Linked DNA regions of Styela clava. The protein of the gene in region 3 purifies or fractionates together with the protein of the main gene of each other region. This does not show direct contact. Links are inferred from orthologs where the notes say so. Each region holds a gene or a part of one and is shown on either strand. Other genes may lie near its edges.

Region 1 (7,337 bases), on a different chromosome or scaffold from region 3:
CTAGATTATTATAAACTTATGGATCACTACACAAGAAAAAGGTATCGCAAATAAAATTTTCACTGATGAAACAGAGAAATTTTTCCCAGACATAAACAAAACTTGTGAAGATTCGACGAAAGAAAAATTTGCCATAAGCGAGGTGATTGCGAAATCGTCGCGTTCTTTCGTTGAGTGAAGCTTTATTAAAGAGTGTATGTTGAAGGCTTGTGAAATAATTTTTTAACAATGAGAGTTAACAAATCAGCCTTTCGCACACGACTAACGGACGAGAGTTTGTATGCTGTCTAAAGACCAGCAAACCAACGCAAAATAAGGCTGAACATCGAGCGTCTCACCGCTACAAAATGGTGTAAGATTCAAGCGGTATGTTAGTCGTTGGTTAGTCGTTGGATTCAAGGTTAATTTCAACTAATATATTCAGATTTAATTTGCTTATTTTTGTATATAATTTATTAGTTTGCGGCCCGCGTCGTCAATAAATTTCAAAATGTGGCCCGCGACATATTTTGAGTTGGAGTCTGGAGACCCCTGGTGTAGCTGATTGATGTATTATTGTTGTAGACAAGTTTCTTGGTATTGTTGTAAACTGCTTGTCTGAAGAAGTCCGATTTTGGCCAGACGAAACGTTACAGAAATACCTTTGTGTTAATGTGCAACAGGACTCTTGAATTGCATAGTATGGTATTTTATTCCCACTACAGCATTCTTGCATTATACGCATACGGATCCACTAGCGCAAGGGCATTGAGGAAGGATTGGGAGTAAATAAATGTTAAATTGCGTGAAATACGAAAGCTATCGGTACGCCGTGTACACTACAGGTAAGATACGTACGCTAATCAACCAAGTAGATTGGATGAAACCGGTAAGTTGAATTTAAGAAACTTTAACAAACTCAAGATTTAATAAAACGTAAAAAAGTTTATTTCGACTCCATAATCAGCATAACAATACATTTGACAAATAAGAACAAATAAATAAAAACTGATTATGGAATCAGGGGAGCAAACGAAACCTAAGATAAGGTTTATAAAGTACAAAATATAAGATGGAAGGTTTTGCCAAGAGGAAGTGGTACGTGTTTACTCACCTAAAATTATTAAGTTATTTCACACACGCTCACATGCACCCACCAGCCACACACACACAACCACTGAGAAGTTATTTAAATAAGAATAAAACGCGATAAATTTAGGGTATACTGTACAGTAAACAAAAAATAAATAAATAAATACTAGAAAATAAAAAAAATTATTTGCCACACTATATTGATATTTTTGTAATGGTTGCCATTGCCAAATTGATCGATCTTCTAATCGTTAATTAAAATATAAAAGGAAGATTCTATTGAAAACATATTGCCAAGCTGATTATAGTTGGAGTCAAATGCCAAGTTGCCCAACCAAAGTTGCCAGAATTGGGTGCATGAAGAGGTGGGCGAGACCATTTCATTCTCCAAATTAGAGCCTATTATTGCCAAATTAAAGTTACCGGTAACAGAAAAATTACTATAATTAAGTAAAGTAGGATATGGAAATAAATTGGTTACAAAGGGTGTAAGTGAGGTTTTTCATTCTTGGGTATTGATTTCAGACAAGGGTATAGGAATAAGGTTGTTATTTCACAGCATATTGGAATCTTTTTTGATTTTTTCCGTACTGTAATACACGCTGGTCGCGAGAGGTGGGTAAGCATGGCTCAATTACGGTACCAATAAATGGGTCTTACTACTTACTGAATACAGCGCGAAACACCGCAAAGAGCGCGAAACAGAAGGAAACCAGCGCAAAACAGAGGGAAACAGCGGAAAACAGGAGGCGCAGTCATTACCACCTCCTGTCACGAAAGAACCACGACGCCTCTCGCCATGGTTTTGTGGCGCTGTTTCCGGTATATTTACAAGGTTATGTACCGGATTATAGGTCATCATGCGAAATTTTATCTACCTTTTTGGTGCTCCAGAAGTATGTGCAGCAATATGTCGCACAACCTGAATCCGCCACACACACACACACATACTATCTTCAGGTTGTGCGCCATCTTGGTGCACATACCTCTGGAGGTCCCTTTTGATCTAACCCTAACCCTAAAGCCAACCATATCCATATGGAAAATGTTCAAAATTATGGTACCCAAAATGTGTCACCAGCAGGGGCAGACCTGCCATTACTGCATTACTGGCTACATACGCTGGTTTGTGTTTTTAATTTGCTGCCGTGATACTTCAACTAAAAACAAGGTGCCTCGAACTCATTGCAAAATTTTTTTCTGCTTCACACTGTTTTCCTCTGTTTTGCGCTGTTTCCCCACTGTTTTGCGCTGTTTCCCTCTGTTTTGCGCTCTTTGCGGTGTTTCGCGCTGTATTCAGTAAGTAGTAAGACCGCCAATAAATTACTGATACATAAAATTATCTCTATATTTTGTGAAATAAACGGTTCTACGATAAAGATCAAAAAATAGTTACTAGATGTAAATTATATTAAAGCATTATTTTGATAAAAACTGTTCAATTAATTTGAATTTTCAAGGTAAAATTCTGGGCCACAGAAACATTTTTAGATAGGCCACAAACCTATTGGAAATTGGTCTGATGGTGATTTTTGCTACAGGGTGGAAATTTTCATTCTAAATATTAAGGTGGAATTGTTGGTTTTTTGCGGAAAGAATTTTTTTCTCTTATACTGAAACACTGACTTAATGGCCACAAAATTTTTCGCAATGAAAATGGGCCACAAAAGAAAAAAGGTTGAGAACCAGCCTATGTCCACAACTGGTGATTGAAACAATTGTGTTTTTTATTTTCTGTTTTGCTGGGGTTTGTACAAGGTAAGCCTATGTGCGAGTGTTTCATGCGGTTATCAAATTTATGATTCATTGTTGATTAGATTATTGAAGTTGAAGTGTCGAAATAAACTTATACCTATAAGACTTCAAATTTGTCATGATGCAGTGATGGCTGGATGGCAAACTGCTAAATGGGTAATTAACGATGCGATAGCAAGCATATTTCCAACACTCTGTACGATGCGCCAACTTCCAAGATATTAATTATAAATGGAATCTATACTCGTAACTAAAAATATATTTGTTTTAAAATTATTTGTTCTTCCTTCCTTTAGATGGCACATTTTATGTTTAAAAATATTAATAAATTAGGCTTCCAACCTTTATCGAGTTTGTTAAATCTTGTTGGAATCTTGCCTACTAGAGGATACAGAGAGATTAAGATAAAAGAGGAAGATAATGTAACAACAATTGAAGGTAAAATGTACGAAGATGACAATTCTAAGTTTGTTGATAGAGATAATCCAGAAGATACATGTCCAATACGTAGTCGAGGAATTCAGGTTACATATGAAGATGTATTAATACTCAATCAGTTCATGACAAATAATGGAGATGTGATTCCTCGTTCTATCACTGGACTATGTTTACGAGAACACCTAAAAGTAACAAAAGCTATTAAAATGGCACAACGTGCCAACCTATTACCTGGTGAAGAACCTCGAATAGATCATTTGGGAAAAGAAATACCAAAGCTGAATTGTTATCTCACTAACTTTCCCATTGGTTCACAAACTGCTGTGAAAAGACCTGGACCTGTTTGGAAGAGAAGATATTATAAAGTTGGGGATCCAGTTGCAGCTCAGGATGCACCAACAATAAGTAACCGAAGAATACGGACTGGTCACTAGGGATGACTTTTTGTATATTTGTATGATAGGCGTATTGAGCACGACAATGCTATTTAATAAAGTTAGTTTAATGCAAAAGTTTTGGAAACTAGTTCCAGAACTTGTTCATGTCTTGGGATTCAAAGGGCACGTATCATCTTTGTTAAATTTCATTATTTTGAAGTGTGCAATTCTCAATATTAAGCTCAGGCTGTCAGGGGTTGAATGCTGCTAAAAGTAAGACTTTTTTTATCGATAACTGTTGATAAATTATAATGGTGTTGTAGTTTCATGGTGCTTATACAAGGTTTAGCAATATGTACAAAATACAGATGTATCTAATAAAGAAAGTTTATGAACTTGAATGTGACTCATAAACAATTCTACCGCATGTGTAACGACATTTAGTGTCAATTATGAAAAACAATGACTATGACATGTGTACTACATCAGTTCAAATTTATAGTTCTCTAATTTTTTGTGTCTAGCCTTGCAATTGTGGTGCTCCAGTGTTAATTGCAGTAAGTTTACTTTGTAGAAGGTATACATCTTTGTTGGCGTGAAATATTATTTTACCATTCTATGTCAGTTGAACCCAATATGAATCTTAATACTCCAGGGAATATGCTTCAGTTTGTTACAAGTAATTGAATGGACTTCACCCTTTTTCCTTTTTATAGCCTTGATTATAGCATCATAATGTCTGGTGATCCTGGTGGAATAGATCAAGTAATTTTGGCAACTGGTAGTTATGATCACACAATCAGATTCTGGCAAGCCCATAGTGGGTTTTGTACAAAGACTGTTCAGCATCCCGACTCTGTATCCTTTTTATAAATTTTTTGTTTTAATAATCTCAAAAGATAGGTATTCGTTGTTCATTTAATCCAGGGTTCAAGTTGAAATTTCCAAAGTTGGGAATGTTCGACTGATCTGAGATGACCCAAGTCGTGACCGCTGAGATTTTCTTCCTTCATCAAAGACCCGCTAGACTCAATACATGACTCTCAAGTTATTAATAATGCAGTTGGTAATTTGAACCAGGATGACGGTTTTCATGGAATTGCTGAATACTAGAAGTAAACATTTTATAAGATATATAATTTCAATTTGTATTATTTTCTCACTATACGCAAACATCAGCAAGTGAATGCGATGCAGATTACTCCAGATAAGAAACACCTAGCCGCTGCGGGATACCAACATGTCAGGTTAGTGGTATTGCATTGTTTTTTTTTGTAATCGTAATAGTTTAATGAAGTTAAAAGAGTTTCAGAAAGTGTAATAGTTACATAAATTAATGAATACTTCTAAATTCAAGATTTAACATCCTTCATTGTTTCGGCTTGCAACTCCACTCTAATTTTTGTAATGGTTGACAATTTTTATTCAGAATGTACGACATTAAGTCCTCTCATCAAAATCCAATAATATGTTATGATGGACTGAACAAAAACGTCACTGCAGTTGGTTTTCAAGAAGATGGTAAATGGATGTACACGGGTGGAGAAGATCATATGGCTAGGATATGGGACATGAGGTAAGAAACTCATTGGACATCCCATTACCAGGAATCCATGGATTTACAAGCTTTTTGATAACATTTACTATAACTATGGTAAGTTTTCTTGTTGTTATGCACTGGTTCTACTCCTGTTCAACCAACCTATTGCTGATGCTCCTGGACTATTGATTCGCTCTGTGAATGTTATATTTGTTTTGGTAGCTTCTCCGTGGATTTGGTTTTAGATTTATTTATTTCAATCCGTTCCGTTGACTGTATCAAGAACAGTTTTCTGATATTTTATATATATATATATAGGTCTCGCAACATGCAATGCAATAGAATGTTTCAAGTAAATGCTGCGATAACATCAATATGCCTTCATCCAAATCAAGCAGAAATGATTGTTGCTGACCAGGGAGGATGTATAAATGTTTGGGATCTTAGATCTGACAAAACAGAGCAACTGGTACACTGATATTCATTTTTGGACTTTGGCTAAATCTGATATCATTGAATATTGATATTTTCAAATTAGAGCAGATTTTAGGATCATTTGTATACATTTTGAACATTTCAAGAATTCATTATTTACATTCAATGAGTACATAACAAAAATGTATGATGTCCGAATATTATTTTCCATTACTTTGCATCGCATACCGGTATTTGTTTTTTCATCTCGCTAAATAAAATGATATTACTGTTTTATGATGCAACTTTTCTTCTATGATTTAGATACCTGAAGTTAATGTTAGTATTAACTGTGTTGATATTGATCCTGATGCAAGTTATCTCGCTGCAGTGAACACACATGGTGAGTCTATATTTATACGTGGGTAGTCGGTGTTGCTTTGAGCTGAATCTTTGAGTTGGTTGTGGTGTGCTTAGGAATTTGTTGAGCGCTCCAGAAGTGTGTGTATCAATATGGAGGTAACTAATTTTGTTCACCTACTTTACATCGAGTTGTGTAAAGGGATTGGAACCTATGGGCTGGGGGTATATTCTCTTGGCTAACACCGACAGTCTCCGAACTCTGATAGAACTAAAATGGGGAAAATCAGAATAAAATTATGGCCTAACTCTACCTTGGTACACACACACTACAGGAATACCTTTTGTTGTTGGCAAGTCTCAATATAACATATTTGTACGAGCAACTAAAAATGTAATTACAGTAGTAAATGATACCAGTACCACCTGAATTCATTTTTGTTTTAAAATAGGAATGCGAATTGCAATACTGCTAGCCTGCAAATCGATGCTATTGACATAAAAGTCTATATGAAGTGCAATGTTGCTTCCGACAATCTTATCTAAATAATCATATTTTTAAACAAATAAGCATTAACGTAATCTCTACAAAGTAGCCTGTATATTTGTGAGCTTTCTCTTGATCATGGTCTATCTTCTTCAGACAAAACAAAATATTTCTGTAAAGATAAATTACATAATACTCGAGTCAAGGTGTTATAATAAATTTTGAAAAATGAGTGCATCAATGCCAAGAGTATTTAAGATGTCTATAGTACCATATCGCAGGGGTGGGCAAGATTTTTGAACCAGGGGCCAAAAGCTTCGCCTACCTAGTCTCGCGGGCCATGTAGGTGTGACATAAAAAGTTACATTTTATGAACAATATTTACAGTGTTGCAAAGCAAAAGTGGAAAACAATAAGCCTCGGGCCAAAACTAACTTTAATTTGCAATCTCAACAAAGTCCTTGAACTTTTTTAACTAAAACATCAAATTTGGTTACAGTTCGGTTGTGGCAGCATCAGGCGGGCCAGATTGAATTACCCAACGAGCCGGATTTGGCCTGCGGATCGTAGTTTGTCCATGTCTGCTCTATCGTATGACCTTTGCTGTTAATATGATTGGTGATGGGGTTGTTGGGGCTTTTTGATTATCTCTGAGATAGTATAAAAACTATGGGAGCTACATTTCAATAACCATTAACCAATATTGTAGTTCTCCAAATATTGTTTGGATATCAAATGTAATGGTATTCTACCTTTAGGAACTTGCTTTGTTTGGAGCGTTTCTCCAGCTAAAACATTGGAAGGTATAATGCAACTCAATCCTCGAAGAAAACTCGATGCACACAAAAAATATGGATTGAAGTGCAAATTTAGTCCCGATTCAGTGTGAGTATTT
Region 2 (7,971 bases), on a different chromosome or scaffold from region 3:
AGTACTCAAAAGTCAGCAGGGAGCATCATAACCAAACCCCAGCCTTTAATTCATAGTAGCAATGAGGGAGCAGTTTCGCCAATGATTGTGTCGCATCGTAAAGATCGTTTGAAGCGAAAGGATCGAATAAAAAAGAAGTCAAGTTTACTGCAGACTAAACCAATCCATGTGTTAGATAGTAAGACAGTTTACTGTGATTGATATTAGTTGATTTGTGTATCTCCTCGTCTAAAAGATTGCCTATTTTTTTATATTGACAAATGCCCTGAGGGAGAAAAATTTTGTTTTCTCGAAACTACTAAAATTGAGAGCAATCTAATTTCACATGCGAAATCAGTCTATGTCATGGGGGTTTGCTTTTTCATATTAGATTTGAATGTTTTATTAGCCCTCTTATGTGTTACTGGTGACTCACCATTATATATAATAGTCCCTAAGTTCAAATTTCTAGCACTTATTAGTTCTTGGTGCAAATGCACACACTGGCTTTATGTGAACCACAACATGTGTAATATTATGTCTGATGAATTTTAGAGTTGAAGAATTTCGGTTCAATTTTATTATTCATGCAATCATTTAGTTTTTAAATAATATGATGATTTCATATTGGTTTTTATTTAATTCACTTTGAATCACATAATGAATTGAGCAAATTGTGGCCTCAATTTCCTCACAGCTAATTTGCTCATAAATGCTATGTTATTTTTCAGCAATGCTAATTTCTACAATAAACTAAAAATGATTTGTTCTGAACTTTGGTCATTTGGTTCATTTTAACGTAATTTTTACTCTCTACTTTTATCCTCTATTCTAGCTGGAAGTTATAAAAAGGTACTTGGTTCTGCCAAAGACTCAAATAAAGCTGCTGATATCGCTTCTGGACAAAAATATGTCGGAACGTTAAATAACTCTGCTGGACAGAGTGACACAACTGCTAAGTCATTCAAGAAGCAGCTTATTTATGAAACAAATGACTCGAAAAATTATAAACCATCGGTTAATGCTGTTAGTTCCCGCAACTCAACAACATATAGCACAAATGATAAAATAAAAATTGGAAATTTGACATCAGGAGGTGGTTTTGAATTAGTAGCGTCGATAGAAAGTGAAAATTCTCCTACCTCAAGTCCACTCTCTACACAAAAGAAGGCACCCCCTTCAAATGAAAAAGTCTCCACTAGCAGCTGGAAAGCCTCTAATACAAGCTCAATTGTGAAGACAAAAATGCCTCCAGCAACAATGTTAAATCCTGGTTCAACTAAGAAGGTTGATAAAAAATTATACTCTGATAAGACTTTCAATCGTTCGTTTGATTCCTCATTTAGCTCTGCTGTTGATGTTCCACTTGCGATGAGCTCACAGGCTATGGAAAGTTATGCATCTGATATAATCAAATTTATGATGGATCAAAACCAACTGGCACATGCAAATCCAGTTTACCACGGATCCCCTGGTTTATCAAACTATGATGCTATTTCAAAAATATTGGGTCTCAGTCCTAATGACGTTTTGCCTAAAGGTGTTAAGAACTCCAAACAAGACGAAAAACTCAAATTTAAGATTTCATCCGCTGCTGTAACGCCCAGCAGTGCTTCAAAGGGTGGCTTCCCAAAATTAGATGTTGGTACTAAACGTGTAGCTACAGCAATTGGGCCTTCTTGGTCTTCTCAAAATCCCACACCCCCTAAAATATCGAAACCTGACAAAGTGCCCTCAATAGCAAAGCAGAAAGTATGTCCACCAACGTCAACAGCGCCTGTGTATTCTGTGACATTCGATGATAAGCATGCCATAAAAAATCTCACAATGAGACCGATACCAAACTTTGCTGTGCCGTCTATATCTAGTTCAAACTTTTCTGGCCAGCGATCGCGTTCTAACCAGCACCACTCTATTGAGAAATCCACTGTGTCTCCCAATACCCCAAATTTTAAAATTGCACAATCAGCCATAGATAATTTAGCAAACATACATAACGTTCCACCAATGTCTCCTACTTTTCCGCAAAATACGAAACGGAGTTCCTCAACTCCTTGTTCTGTTCCAATACCCAAACTTCAATATTCACCATCTGGTGCGTCTAATATTAAATTGGAATCAATCCGTGGTGGGTTCAATCCAATGTTACTTTCGTCAATGGCTAGCTCTTTCAATCCAAACACAAACTCGTTTTCTACTGCTTACTCGTCTTCGTCAAACCTTTCTAATTCTGCTGCATCGAAGCTCAAAACAATGCCAGTCAGTTCTGCTCGAAATTTTCCAGAAAATTATTCAATGACTGACCCACAGTTTTCAAAATCATTTCCATTGGTAAGTTTTCTAAATTAATTTTCTGTTTAAAGAATACTGTGTGTATTAATTTGTATATCCATCAATTTAAAATACCTAAACATTTCAATAATTATGATATCCCAGTTTCAATGTTTTACAAAGTTAAGTTTCATAGAATAAGTGTGTTGATTTAGACATAATGACACACGCCTGATAGATCTAACGAAGGTAACAGTAGTAAAATTTTGAGTTCTACTTCTATTGATTATACCAGCATAATGCTCTGGTAAGAATTTGAAACTTGATTTAAAATAATATATATTAATGCATCTTTGCTTCTGAAGCTCATATTCAATCTAGTTACCAGCCCCCAATCTAATTCCTCTTAATTGTACTTTAAAATAAACTTCAAGTGTTAACATATAACTTATCCACTACAATTTTAGGTCAACCTTGTTGATATTCAGGGGAACGATTCAGTTAAGCAAGCAGCATTGAATCTGAATATTAAAGGTAGGTATTCTAGGAATCCATCGTTTTGGTACGGTAAATGGTACTCATACAGGAGTACGAGTCTAAGATGTAAAGGAACATGCAATACAAATTCTTTTATTTTGAATTAATTTCTGGGGTTCAACTACGTACCAATTTTCAATAATTTACGTTAAATGAAATATCTGGAGTGTCTGACTTGAGCTATCAAATTAATGTTGGCTAGCTTGGTAATTAGGCGTTTAGTATTTCACATTACTCTATCAAATAATCCAAAGTGTCACGAACCGAGTAAACAATTTCAATCTTAACAGTGAGCTTCATTTGTTTCAGCAAACCAGAACAGATGAGAGAGTGGGCATGTTTTTTATAGTCATTCATTATACATCAACTATCTGGTTGTGTGGAGAGTTCAAAGAATCATATCTGCAGTTTCTGACCTGTTTTTCAGCATTTCATGTGTAATTTTTTTATGTACACCATGATATTTCACCTGAAGTTTGAAATTATAGGGAATTTTATGGGTTCTCGTACCTAGTAGTCTGCTTTAACCAGTTTAAAACTGACATCAACAACTCATTTTGTATCTTTTCACATTGTGTGTTATCATCGTCTGGTCATTTTATATTTTTTACAAGGTCATTATTCATTCTCCATTAATAAATATGAATAAAGGAATATGTTCTGCTTTCCAATCTTTTTCTGAATGTTAACACTCTCTCAAATGTTTACACACAAAATGAAATGAATATTTTGCAGTTTGTCGAAAAAGTCTTTGCTTCCTTGAGTATAAAAATATACTTTCATCTATGTTGCAATTAAAGATAAAAAGTATAGTTTTTTCAGCAGTCTAGGTATAGCAATTTGATAATATTGATGCTGGCTGATCTCTTGCCTATTATTTAAACTTTACAAGGCAATTTGATAATCCAATAATGCATTCTAGTCATTTCTATCTATTCAAAGTGTAGAAATTTACTTGGTACACTGCTCTGTCCGAAAGTGAAGTGATCATATTCAATCGTAAACTGGTGCTACTCAATTTTGAGCTTTTTGACTTGAGGAAAGTTTGGAAAGGAATACTTTTCTGTCTTGAAATAATGTTATCTTCAGATTAAAGCTGCTAGTTATTTTGCAATAAAACATTGTCTATTCTGATGTGTTTATATAATTTAGTTAAGGAATGGTGTAAAGTGAAAACGTCTTTACACTGGTTCAGCTTGTGTCTGCTGATGTATAGCATAAAAATAAATATGACTATTTGAGACAGGTTTGCTATTTTAAGATCTGATTTTCGTGTTGACCACGAGGAAAAGATGTCTCTTAACTTCATGCATACCACGGCTTGTGGATTTTCTATTATAAACATTCTACTGTAGGGGTTATATTCAAAATGTGAAGCGCGGGTCGGTGGAAGCATCGAAGTCCTCACTGGTGGTGGGAGTCCCAAACAATACATTTCAGGCATATATATCCCAGCTAAAGTTCATCTCTGGTCGACCGTTTTAGATGTGCATCGGTGATATTTTTGATAGAACATGAATAGCCTTTACAACAGACATCCGTAATGTATGTAATCCCACCGTTTCTGCAATATAGTAGCGTGTCCTGTAGATGGCAGTAAGGATGAGCATTGGTCAAGCAGTTCGCCACCACTGCACCGAGACCTGAAATAGGTGTCTGATTTTATTCACTTGTTGATTTGTGTGATTGCTTGGTGTAGTGATGTTATCATCTGTATGGTGAGTGCTGTTACAGAGTTTCACGTCTGTTAAATCTGTGAATAGGCACATTTTCACGGATATAGACTACCTATAGGTTATTTATTTACTGACCAGTTGGAAAAAATACACTTGACTTTACATAAAAACTTAGACAACATCAGCAGTCTGGAATCAGAGATTTAGAAATTTTGACTGGTGTGATGGCGCGATTTAGTTCAGTAGGAGGGGATTAGTCTACGGTTTTTATTCCAATTAACATCTAGATAAATCCAATTCACAACAGCACAATGTTTTTACCAAATCACCTCCTAAAAAGATTTCAGTCTTTTGCAGAACAGCCTGATAAAATTTAGGTTACCTGGGTTATAGGTAATCTGAATGTCAGCATTATTCCGGTATTGTTTTCATTTATTAAAACTTCCATGGCTTTACAAATGTATTAATTTTAATTGGACTAGTTTAACTCAAAAGTGTTTGCATCTATTTTCAGACCATTACTGCAGTATAGTCTGATAGTGCCAATCCTAAAACTTCTCCATAAATACAGTAATTTGAACAGTTCTCTGCTATTGACGTCTGTAACTAAAAGAAATGTACCACTTTGGAAACTAATTGTGTTTAGACCTTGATTCTAACCACTGAACCAACTTTCTGACAACTCAACTTAATGGAGTTCGATGAGGAAGCTGTCGATATTAATACTGCGTCAGTCGATGAATTTGTGACTAGGTTGAAGGGAGTTGGACGATCTAAAGCTCGAGCTATTGTTCGATTCAGAACAGTGAGTATTTCTGTATTTATTAAAATATAAATCACATGAATACTGGAATAAGAATGGCTGATTAATAACAAAATTATTACACTATTAATGGTACAAAAAATTTTCAATAGTAATATGAAAAATATATTTTATATATTGCAGATTTAACCATAAACCTCGAAGCTTTTGTGGTTTTATGATAATTCAACCTTTATAAAATTGCTATAGTATGTATGAATTTAGAATGTTTTAAATCTAAATAAAATGTCGAAGTTTTCTTCAGTCTGAGTATACTGTCAGTGTCAGCTATATCTAGAATTAGTCAAACATGCTTCAAGTCCACGCAAGTGTGCCTGCGTTAAATTGGTTAGCCTAACCATTTTATTTAAAAAATTATGTCTCATACCGAGTGACAAATTTTAAAATGTGATTTGATTGCAAGCCAGCTTGCATCAAAGTCATTGTCTTTTTCTGAGAATTGTGTGACCAAGCAAATGCAAGAAAGATTTGGCTACATGAAGCGCCAAAACAATTCACCCAACCATTTCCATTCCTACTCATTTTTCAGCGATTAAAAATCAAATCACTTCGATAGCCTTTGTCCCTTTTTTGTTTCGATTGTAAAAATTGATCAATTCTTATACCGCTATAGTAAATTTTTAACATTGTGACAGAAATATGATCTTTTATTTTTGTATTAGACTGTTGGAAAGTTCAAGAAGTTGTGTGAATTGACTGATGTTCCTGGAATCACACAATGTATTCTAGAAAGAAATCAAGGTGTATTACTCTGTGTATCAAGTAGAGCGAGCGAAATCAAGGCTTTACACGAGCTAAGTGATGACGAACCCCTTGAGGAAGGAGATTTATCCGTATCGGAGTTGATGTTAGCAGGTACAGTATGATTATTGAAGTCTTTCAAAACTTTCAATCTCAAACTTTATTCGACTTTAAACCTGAATTTCACAACATTCAATATTATCCTAAATTAATTCCGAATTGTTTCTCTTCGACATAATTTTATTACATTATTTCTATTGATATTGGACATTTCAGGAACAAAATGAGTTGTTGGTAAATGAGTATGTAAATGTAAAAATGAGTTACATTGTAAATCAACCCAAAAAATTTTTTTTTTGGTATTTTCCCAATTTGTCATTCTGTGTGCTCAAACATCAAGTCCTAGAAATTCCATCCACATCCTGAGAAGGGATGGACAGTTAACGGCCTGTGGGTCACATTCGACATGCCAAAGCATTTTGTACGGCGCGCTTGCTCTTGGAGTAATTTTTCACTAATATATACAAAATTTAGATGTGCTTTTTTGGAATATCCAAACTATGAATAGTTAAAAAAAATGTTAATTTTTTTTGTTTATTCCTGTTTCAACAATGGCAGCTGTATTAAATTTTAACTGAAGGTAAATATATGGTACATTTCTCAATGCGGCCCTCTGCATCAAAAACTTTGTCCATCCCTCTGCCCTAGGATGCATTCTGATATTGGAATTACATCCATACCTTGGAATCGAACGAGTCGATACTTGAATAATTCAGTTGCCGAGCAAAAATATCTAGTCAAAAATTCCTGGATATCAAACGGAAACTCAGTGCCCGAACACCGATCGCACCTCCGAGTGAGATGACGTCACCCGAACACGCATTTCAGCTGCCTCTTGACCATTTAACAAGAGAGCAATGCTCAAATATATGGGCACTAAGGCCATAATGAAGTAGTATGTGTATGTACAGTATCTGTCACGATAAACACCCGGTAAGGCAATCTTCACGACTATCGTGAAAGCGGAACCTACTCAAGGTGCGCTCAATTTTTGATGACGTCATCGCATACAAAAAACGAACCCTATAGAGCCCCAGTATATTAACTGATACAAAATTTTTTGTTTAATTCTTATTTTGTACACATTTAAATAAATATTGTTCTACGTTCGTTTTGTTAATATTTTTGGTATTTCGGAATGCGTAAGAACGATTAAAAATAATTACCATTGTTTCTTATGGCAAAAAATTTTCGATACTCGAACAAATCGATATTCGAACATCACTCCTGAACGAATTATGTTCCACTACAGAATTATCACTGTACAAGAATGTGTTCTATTTCGAAATTTGGCAAAGTCCGATTCTATCTGATGAATATGAATATTTAGGTTTTGTTCGAATTATTTTGGGAGGTTGGCCGTGGCCAAGTCTGATTCTATCTGGTGAATTTGAGAAAATTATGATAAATTTTGTTATTATCCATTCAAATATGAATATTCAGGTTTTGTTCATTATACAACTCATGTAATTTAAATCAAAATTATGTAAACAGCATTACAACAATATGCAAATTCGTTTTTGCATCGCTTATAAGGTTTCCTTTAATTACCAAGTCTCAAGTTTTTTTTCCATAAATATATTAAAAATGATAAATGGTTGGGTAAAGATTGATCATTGGCCGGTAGCTATTACTTTTTTGGCCATTTTGATTTATATTGCACATATATACGTGGTTAATAATTGAAAATCCCTATTTCTGCTTTTAATGTATAAATGTTCAAATTGACCGAAAAACATGGTCATTGATATACAATAGTTCCACTTAGCTTGTGTTACATAGCATTCTTGAACCTTTCGTTTGAACAAATTAAAGATCAGTTCATTGCAGCAACATCATAAAAGGCGTTGAATTTTAACAAATAATCCCATTGGGAATGTTCAT
Region 3 (8,007 bases):
TAGTTATTTCCCTCAAGCCCTGCAGGATGTAGGGGCCATACACAACTTTACCGGAGGGTCAAATGTCTTTGCATTCCTCCATAGGTTGTTCTTCTATTGCAAACATTTATGGAGTATTCTAATCATATTTCTTGGAATCAAACTGTCACTGATATGTCGCCAGACTTCTGATATCTCCCCTTCAGCTACAGTTGTCCTGTGAATAAATAATAGGAAATTGAGGTTAGACGAATAGTTGAAAGTTTTGTTTTATGTCGGCCTAATTTCTTGATTGATATACTCACTATTATTGCTATTGCCTCTTGTGCTGCAGGAGTCTCACAATGCTTAGACAGGTCTGTCCACAACTTTCACATCTGTAGGAGAGGAGATGTATTAATTTTCGTTAAGAATAAATAAAGCAGTCTATATGATTCAGAATGGAAAAGCTAATAAACCCAATATCTTATGTTTTTTGTAAAAAATGTTTTACTGAATTTGGTATATAAACCAACTAATAAAGGGGTTTAGTCAGAAAATTATAAGCATTCGTGGCTCCAAATACTTGAGAGATCAGACTATACAATATAGACCGGTATGAGTGAAATTTTAGGTGAACTTGTTAACCCGTTGATTCAATACGCAAATAAAAGTGAATGAGCAATAGTATGTTACAGCAATAAGTATATATCCTCACTGATTAAAAAAATCTAAAAGGAGGTGCATGAACTATTTGAAACCATAAGGGGTAAGTGAATATGCAATTTCGGCAGATGGCCAACTACGTATCGTACTGAATTATAAACTTCGTAGTATTTGACAAAAGCTGGCTTTCCCGCATGTACTTAACAGTGCGATGCCCGGGTGTGATATACAACAATAGTATTTACCTTACTTTTTTCCGATTTCTTTTTACCTTCAATTTTCCACATATCATTAAAAACCACAACAATTGTCGAAGCAGGCTCGAACACCATTCGTGCTATGCCTTGAAAGCAACACACATCCGCTCGTTTTCGTCTCGTCAAGTATGTGCATTGGAGCGTGCTATCGAATACGATCTTCGGCCAAAAATGCCGGAGTTGCGCATCATATTGGTCTGAGTTACTCTGCGATATGTCCTCAATTAAGAAAGGAAAATACGAAGATGAAAACAGAGTTGTCAAGTCAGGGTGGGAAGAAGAAAGAATACGCTTTTACCAGTCAGGAGAATTAACTCTTGTGGTTAATCTGCCATAAGCTACTAAGTCAGAATAATTAGAATAAAGTCAGCAATGTTAAACGGCACCATGGAACGAATCATGAAAACTTCTTACGAGACTACCCTCGTAAATCAGCAATAAGGAAACACAAATTAAATGAGCTCAAATTGTGCATATATTTGAGCATAGCTGCCTTATTTATCTATTTATTGTTATAAGACTCTTGTGTAAATTTCTTTTCTGTTCATGGTATTTTAATAATATTAATAAATTCACAAATTTTGCGGCTCATTTAAAGTTCTGATTTGCAGCATGCGGCTCTTATACTAAAAAATTGTGCCCACCCCTGCCATATATAGTCGCACGATATATATTATTAAGCATGCCCATGACCGGATTCTCTATTAAATTGACCCATTGAAATATCGGTCGTGCATAAATCACGACAAAACACCGATTTGGCAATTGGCAACTTTATTTAAATTACTTTCGTTAAATTCACGAAACGGAACTCATTTGCAACAATGATTGTTGTTATTTATCGCTGGTTATATATTTTTATATTTACGCAATATTTCTCGACTGCTCACAATTTTTCTATTTTGACCCATGTTGCCGCTCCGAATGGAGTAATTTGAAATCGTCAAATCGAATGAATATGCTTTTCGTTAATTGCCATTTTCAATAAAATTTAATTGAATCACATTTCCAACACTTGACGCCATGAATTTACGATCAACAAAAAACTGTTGATGCTTTTATTTTAGCCGACATTGATCCAATCGAACAGAATATCGTTATTACTTTCAAATCTACGCCAACTCGTCAGCGCCCGAATGTCTGGCATCAAATCTGTAACGGCGACGCAACATGACGTCGTCTTCGAAGTTCAGCGTGTGCGTCAGATGCTATTATTGTGATAAAAAAATTAATCGAATTTCAATTATTTATCGGTTCTCCTACGACATCTCGCGATCAGTCTAATTTCTATATACATTGATAACGCCCTCTATCGAATGTCGGTATTTTGACGAAGTTCATCAGTAGAAGTCACCATTTTGGGTGCATTTGAGCCGCTAGAAAACGGAGTGTCAATATTAGGATAGGATGCTACAACGCGATTTTTTTAATCAAAAAATAAATTAAACTGCGCGATCGAATATGATAACAGATTTAGATATATAAGGACTCACTATAGAAACTGCCAGAAGCACAATACCGGTATGGCGCAATTTAGTCGAGATATACCGTAAACGATTGAAAATTTGGGGGTCTAGTACCGTAAAACCGGCTAACTTCGGATGGTTTCACTATACTTCAATCAATATCTCTGCCGTTTGTTGTCCAATTAGCGTCATATTTGGAATATATTACATTGATGCAATCTCTACACATGCATTTAATTTTCTCGCCGATCGGATCATTTTTTCTGTCTTAATTGTCTCATTTTTCACTACACCACTAAATATCTAACTTCGGATGGGGGAATCACCTCCGTGCGTGACCGCAACTCGAGCGAAAATTGCGTGGCGAAGACAAAACACGCTTTACGTGGTTGCGAAAATTCCAGATGTTCAATCCACGTCGCGAGTGGCGGTGATAATGATGACCGTAGGATTTTTGGTGCGGCACTTTCAAGTTGTTTTTATAATAAAATGTCTAGTTTCATTTTCTCTTATCGTACTACCGATCATAGCCGATTTTGCAATAGCCGATAATGTTTGGATAGCGTTTGTATATTCCAGATCGTATATAGTCGCACGATAAATATTATTGAGCATGCATATGACTGGATTCTTTACTAAATTGACCTATTAAAATGTCCGCCGTGCATAAATCACGACAAAACACCGATTTGGCAAATATTACTTTAGTTAAATTCATTAAACGGAACTCACTTGCAAGTGTTGCAACAATGATTCTTGTTATTTATCGCTGATTATATATTTTTATATTCACGCAACATTTCTTGACTGCTTACAATTTTTCTATTTTAAACCATGCTGCCGTTCCAAATGGTGGAATTTGAATCGACAAATCGAACGAAAATATTTTTCGTTAATTGCCGTTTTAATAAATTAAATTACATTTCCAACATTTGACGGCATGAATTTAAGATCCACAGGAAACTGTTGATGTGTATATTTTAGCCGATATTGATCCAACCGAACAAAATATCGCTGTCATTTCAAATATACGCCAACTCGTCGGCGCCCTAATGTCTGGCGTCAAATCTGTAACGGCGACGCAACATGACGTCGTCTTCGAAGCGAGCGACGTCAGGGTGACGTCGGTTCAATGTGTGCGTCAAATGCTATTATTTTGATGTAAAAAGACAATTTGAATTTTAATCGTTTCTCGAGTCTCCTGCGACATCTCGCGATCAGTCTAATTTTGTAATACATTGGTAACGCCCTCTATCGAATGACGGTGTTTTGACCAAGTTAGCGCAGTTAGAAGTCACGATTTGAGCCGCTCGAAAACGGAGTGTAAATTTTTTGCTAAAACGTGATTTTTCAATCAAATAATAAATAAAATTGCGCGATTGATCATGATAACAGATTCAGATATATAAGGACTCTCTAGAGAAACTACCAGAAGCACAATATGACGCAAAGTTACAAGGCATCCGAAGTTAGCCGGTTTTACGGTACCGTACCGGTATAGTTTAGGGGTCTGGTATAGTTTAGTACCACACGTACTTCTCTACTTCTAGTTGACCTGGCTCAACAATTTTTGCATATGTCAATCCTAACCCCCACCTAACTACGTCACCGAAAAACGTCATTTCGACGTCACAGTGGCGCAATAAGGCCCACCTAAGTATGCGGATGATCGTGTTGGTGAGGTCGTAGACTCGTAGTGACCTAATTTTTGGATGGCATAGTCAGGTGGGGGTTAGGAATAGCATATGCAAAATTATTGCTACGCCCACGGGAAGTACTTGTGGTACTAAACTATACTAGACCCCAATTTTTATAGTTTGAAGGGCCTTAAGTATAAGTATAAGTTTATTTCGACTCCATAATCAGCAATAGACGATAAAATAATAGATAAAAACAATTATGCCTTATTACCTGACTGTGACTTAATTTTTAAATGAAGCTGTCAGGTGGGAGTTAGGATTGACATATGCATATGGGCTTGGCGGTGTGCCGGTGTGGCGCTTCATGCTAAGCGTTAGGAATACGCTCGCCACTGCATCTATGATTACCCTTTGTGGGTTCGCAGGTTTGAATCCCATGCGGGGATGATCATGTGCGAGAGGATTGCTGGACTCCTCGTCGCCGTGGGGTGGTTCATGTAACCGCTGGTCGGTTACGGCTTCCTCCACCATCAAGTCCATGCTTCCGGAAACAAACAAATTACTAACTGATCCCATACCCGACATGGAATACTGGAATAGTAATCAGACGAGAGGTCGTGGCTCGCCATATGGTTAAGCCGTCTTATCGACTTTTCTCTGGCACGGGATAAATATGTAAATCCTATCCTATCCTTGTTATGCAACGCCCGCTAGAACAGAAGTACCGGCACTTGAGGTACGAAACTACACTAGATTCTGGTTTAGTTTGCTCTCCCGATTCTAGACTATAATCAGTTTTATATATTTTTGTTTTATCTAAAATTTTTAATTTATCGTCTATTATGCTGGTTATCGAGTCGAAATAAACTTATATTTATAATAATACTGTCCAATCCTGTTTTAAGATTGTGACTTCAGCATCTGATTACTGGATTAGGTTTGAAGTAAATCTAATTTTATTTAATATAGTACCAAGTACTATAACGTAAGATTTATTTTTCCTAAATCACTTACAGATTTATTTCAATATGTATAGTTTCGTGTAAATATCAAAATGAGTGGCTCAAGATATAGAAGCTTTCAATCAAGAAACGGAACTAGACGTATTCGTGAAAATGCTGGAGATACCATCCCTTTGGATATCACACAGGATCCTTATTTATTGCTTATGACAATTTTTCGAAGTATTCAAAGCAGAGGAAGCACTGCAAAAACTCTGCCACATTTGAACAATTTGATCAAAATACTATGCAATCGTGAAGACGCGACTTCTAAATTTTTAATTGAAGATATTATGATTTGTCTAAAACCAGCATTGGTTTCTGAAGTAAAGGAAGTTCGAGCAGCGTGCATTCGAGCTTTACGTTATTTAGTTAATGATGCACATTCAGTAATACTTTTGACAAAACTTCATTTGGATAGTTTTATAATAAAATGTCTAGACATAAGTCATTTCAATGAAGTCGAGAGAATTCAATGTTTGCGTCTAATTCGAAAGATTCTTCTCATTGCAAGAATCGAACGCAGAGAAGCTGGAGAAAAAACGAAAATGTCAATCATTCCTAAATCATTTGCTTTATGTATTATGTCAATTTCTGCTGATGGAGCTGTGGAAAGAGATCGTGTCTATAGAACCTGTCTTGCGATTTTATGTGAACTTGTTGTTTTAGAACCTTCATTAGTCATTGAAAATGGTGGACTACTTGTAATGCTACGTGCAGTTCTTGAATGCCATATGTACAGAAGGATTAACGAGTCATTGTGTATAAGCCTTGGATTAATGCTTAATCATCCATCCTCACGGAACCTACTGAAATTGACATTCAGTTTTAATGCGATATTTGCTCCTTATACTGACGTAATGTACCGTCTACATGCTGATGTGGAAGAATCACAAATAAGAGAAGAAAAAGAAATGAGGTTTTCCGCTTCAAAGATGGCGGTTGTTTCTGTTCTTCGTTCATGGTCTGGTCTACTTCACCTTTGTCAAACTTCTGCGATAAAATCTTTTTTAAGTACTTTGCTGATTCCTGATGCAGGTATTAAACGTGCTACTTTGTCTGTATTATTTGAAATCTTCTGCTTAAATGAACCTAAAGCTTCAGAAGATTTTATTGAATCACTTCTAAGCATTGGTCCCAGAATCTTTCAGGAAAGCTGGCAACTTACAAATATTTTTGTTGTTGGTGAAGGAAAATGGTTCCTTCCAAGCTTAAATAATGAACGATTAGACTTGACTAATTGTTATATGGCTGTGCTGCTTTCAATTTTTATTGAAGCCAATATTATACAGCGTTTGGTTTCAGTGGTTATGGGTCCTGATGAATGTGCCTCTATAATTGCTTGTATACTTCTAGGGAAAATTTTAAACCTTTCTGATAAATTACATTCTATGCCACAAACGGCGGAATTATGGATGACTAGTGCTTCATCTGCTTGTAAAGAATGCTTGCCAGATCTAATGAAACAAGCAACTTCACAGAGTGTGAGTAAAGAAGAGCGTTTACGTGCAAGTGTTGCTGTAGGTAGGTTAAGAAAGATACATAATTTTCTTAAAAATCGACCAGCGATGCATACAGTATATTTAGATGAGTTATTGCTTCGGGTCAAAGCTGCTGAAAAAGCATCAACAGAGGCAACCCAAGTGGAATCACCAGTTAGGCCTGGCTCTTCTATATCGCTGCGACGCCTCACTGTAAACCATGTTGAAGACTCGGATGAGCCCATGACAACATTATCAATTCGTAGAAACAGATCCCTTACAATTGTGCGTAACTTCGCTAGCGAACAGACATCCACAAGAATAAAAGACACACAAGTCATTGCAGAAAGGGACTTTACTAAGTGGGATTGGGAAGCAATAACATCATTTCTTGTTGAAGGGTGGTCTAAAAGGATGGTTAACACAAGAGAATCTCATTATATTGGCTCTGATGATACAGAATACCATTTTATCAAACGACTTGTTACTTTTTATATTCCGAGTGATGGAGAATTCTACAAAGTTGATAGAGCAAGAGAGGGCGAGGGAGATAAACCTCATGTGCAGTCAGGTTGCCATTTGGTGAGATATTTATCAACTACAGCTGGAGAGGGAATGAAACTATTATCTGTTTTGTTGAAAAGCATCGTCGAATATTTGGCAAAACTTATAAAAGATACAGACGGTATGAAAAAGGCAACAAGCACTTTTTTATCAAGTTGTGCAAGGGACTATTTTCTCTTGCTCGGAGCATTAACAGTTTGGCGCCATGGTAGTGAAATTTTGCGCAAGAATGGAGTGTTTGATTTTTTTACGTCACTCGCAAATGATGAAATTCATGAAAATTTATTAAAACTTGTAATATCAAGTTTATCTTTTTCTGGGGAAAGTCTGAGTTATTTTTTCTTGAAGCAAGTTCTTGTAACTTGTAATGAAGCAGCAAGATTGTATGCAACTTGCTATTTACGAATATTACTTAGAGCTAAAATGCCTGGATTTATCAATTGGGGGGTTCATTTACTAATAACACAACTTTATGACTCGAGCCAAACTGTTGCCACTGAGGCACTTGATGTTCTTGATGAGGCTTGTGCTGATCATGAATACTTGAACGTTGTTGTTGGTCTTCGTCCCGGTTTGCTACATCTTGGTGAAAAAGGAGCGCTGCTAATTTGTCGTTTTGCGTCTCATCCGCTGGGTTTTGAGTATCTTTCTGCAAATAAATATCTGTTGAGAGAGTTGGACCGATGGTGGGATTCTGCCAATGATCTCTATGTATCAAGAGTAGAAGAACTGTTGAATATCTCACTAACATGCTATGAAAAACCTACTCAACAAGGTGGGTTTGTGCGACGATCAGGAATTAAGAAAGTTGTCCAGCCTGTTCATGTTCCTTCACATTTATATGGAGAGTTGAGCCAACATGAAAGAGGATGCGAATTACTTGAAAAAAGGAATATTGTTCCAAGATTAGTTCAAAAATTACAGGATGGTTTGCACATCCATGAAGCCTTTTGTGGAGATGTAGATAACTTTGA

Evidence for each region. The genes of interacting proteins can lie anywhere in the genome.
Region 1: the proteins of rapamycin-insensitive companion of mTOR-like (region 3) and target of rapamycin complex subunit lst8-like purify together in Homo sapiens (affinity purification with western blotting; 14 studies listed by BioGRID and IntAct, with this or other methods). This does not show direct contact. The link is inferred for Styela clava from reciprocal best matches to the Homo sapiens genes RICTOR and MLST8.
Region 2: the proteins of rapamycin-insensitive companion of mTOR-like (region 3) and F-box/WD repeat-containing protein 7-like purify together in Homo sapiens (affinity purification with western blotting; 3 studies listed by BioGRID, with this or other methods). This does not show direct contact. The link is inferred for Styela clava from reciprocal best matches to the Homo sapiens genes RICTOR and FBXW7.

The regions. Positions count from the first base shown.
Region 1 is NC_135263.1:19,739,956-19,747,292, reverse strand, and holds the start of target of rapamycin complex subunit lst8-like, read left to right. Parts: upstream 1-4,328; coding exon 4,329-4,499; intron 4,500-4,820; coding exon 4,821-4,888; intron 4,889-5,070; coding exon 5,071-5,217; intron 5,218-5,499; coding exon 5,500-5,650; intron 5,651-5,919; coding exon 5,920-5,998; intron 5,999-7,200; coding exon 7,201-7,327; intron 7,328-7,337. Other genes in the region: large ribosomal subunit protein mL66-like, read left to right, coding at 3,123-3,698.
Region 2 is NC_135263.1:11,561,517-11,569,487, reverse strand, and holds the start of F-box/WD repeat-containing protein 7-like, read left to right. Parts: upstream 1-4,962; 5' UTR 4,963-5,154; coding exon 5,155-5,268; intron 5,269-5,948; coding exon 5,949-6,141; intron 6,142-7,971. Other genes in the region: uncharacterized protein LOC120340979, read left to right, coding at 815-2,310, 2,718-2,784, 3,097-3,113. UniProt on the Homo sapiens protein: Substrate recognition component of a SCF (SKP1-CUL1-F-box protein) E3 ubiquitin-protein ligase complex which mediates the ubiquitination and subsequent proteasomal degradation of target proteins.
Region 3 is NC_135255.1:15,846,276-15,854,282, reverse strand, and holds the start of rapamycin-insensitive companion of mTOR-like, read left to right. Parts: upstream 1-5,007; 5' UTR 5,008-5,041; coding exon 5,042-8,007. UniProt on the Homo sapiens protein: Component of the mechanistic target of rapamycin complex 2 (mTORC2), which transduces signals from growth factors to pathways involved in proliferation, cytoskeletal organization, lipogenesis and anabolic output.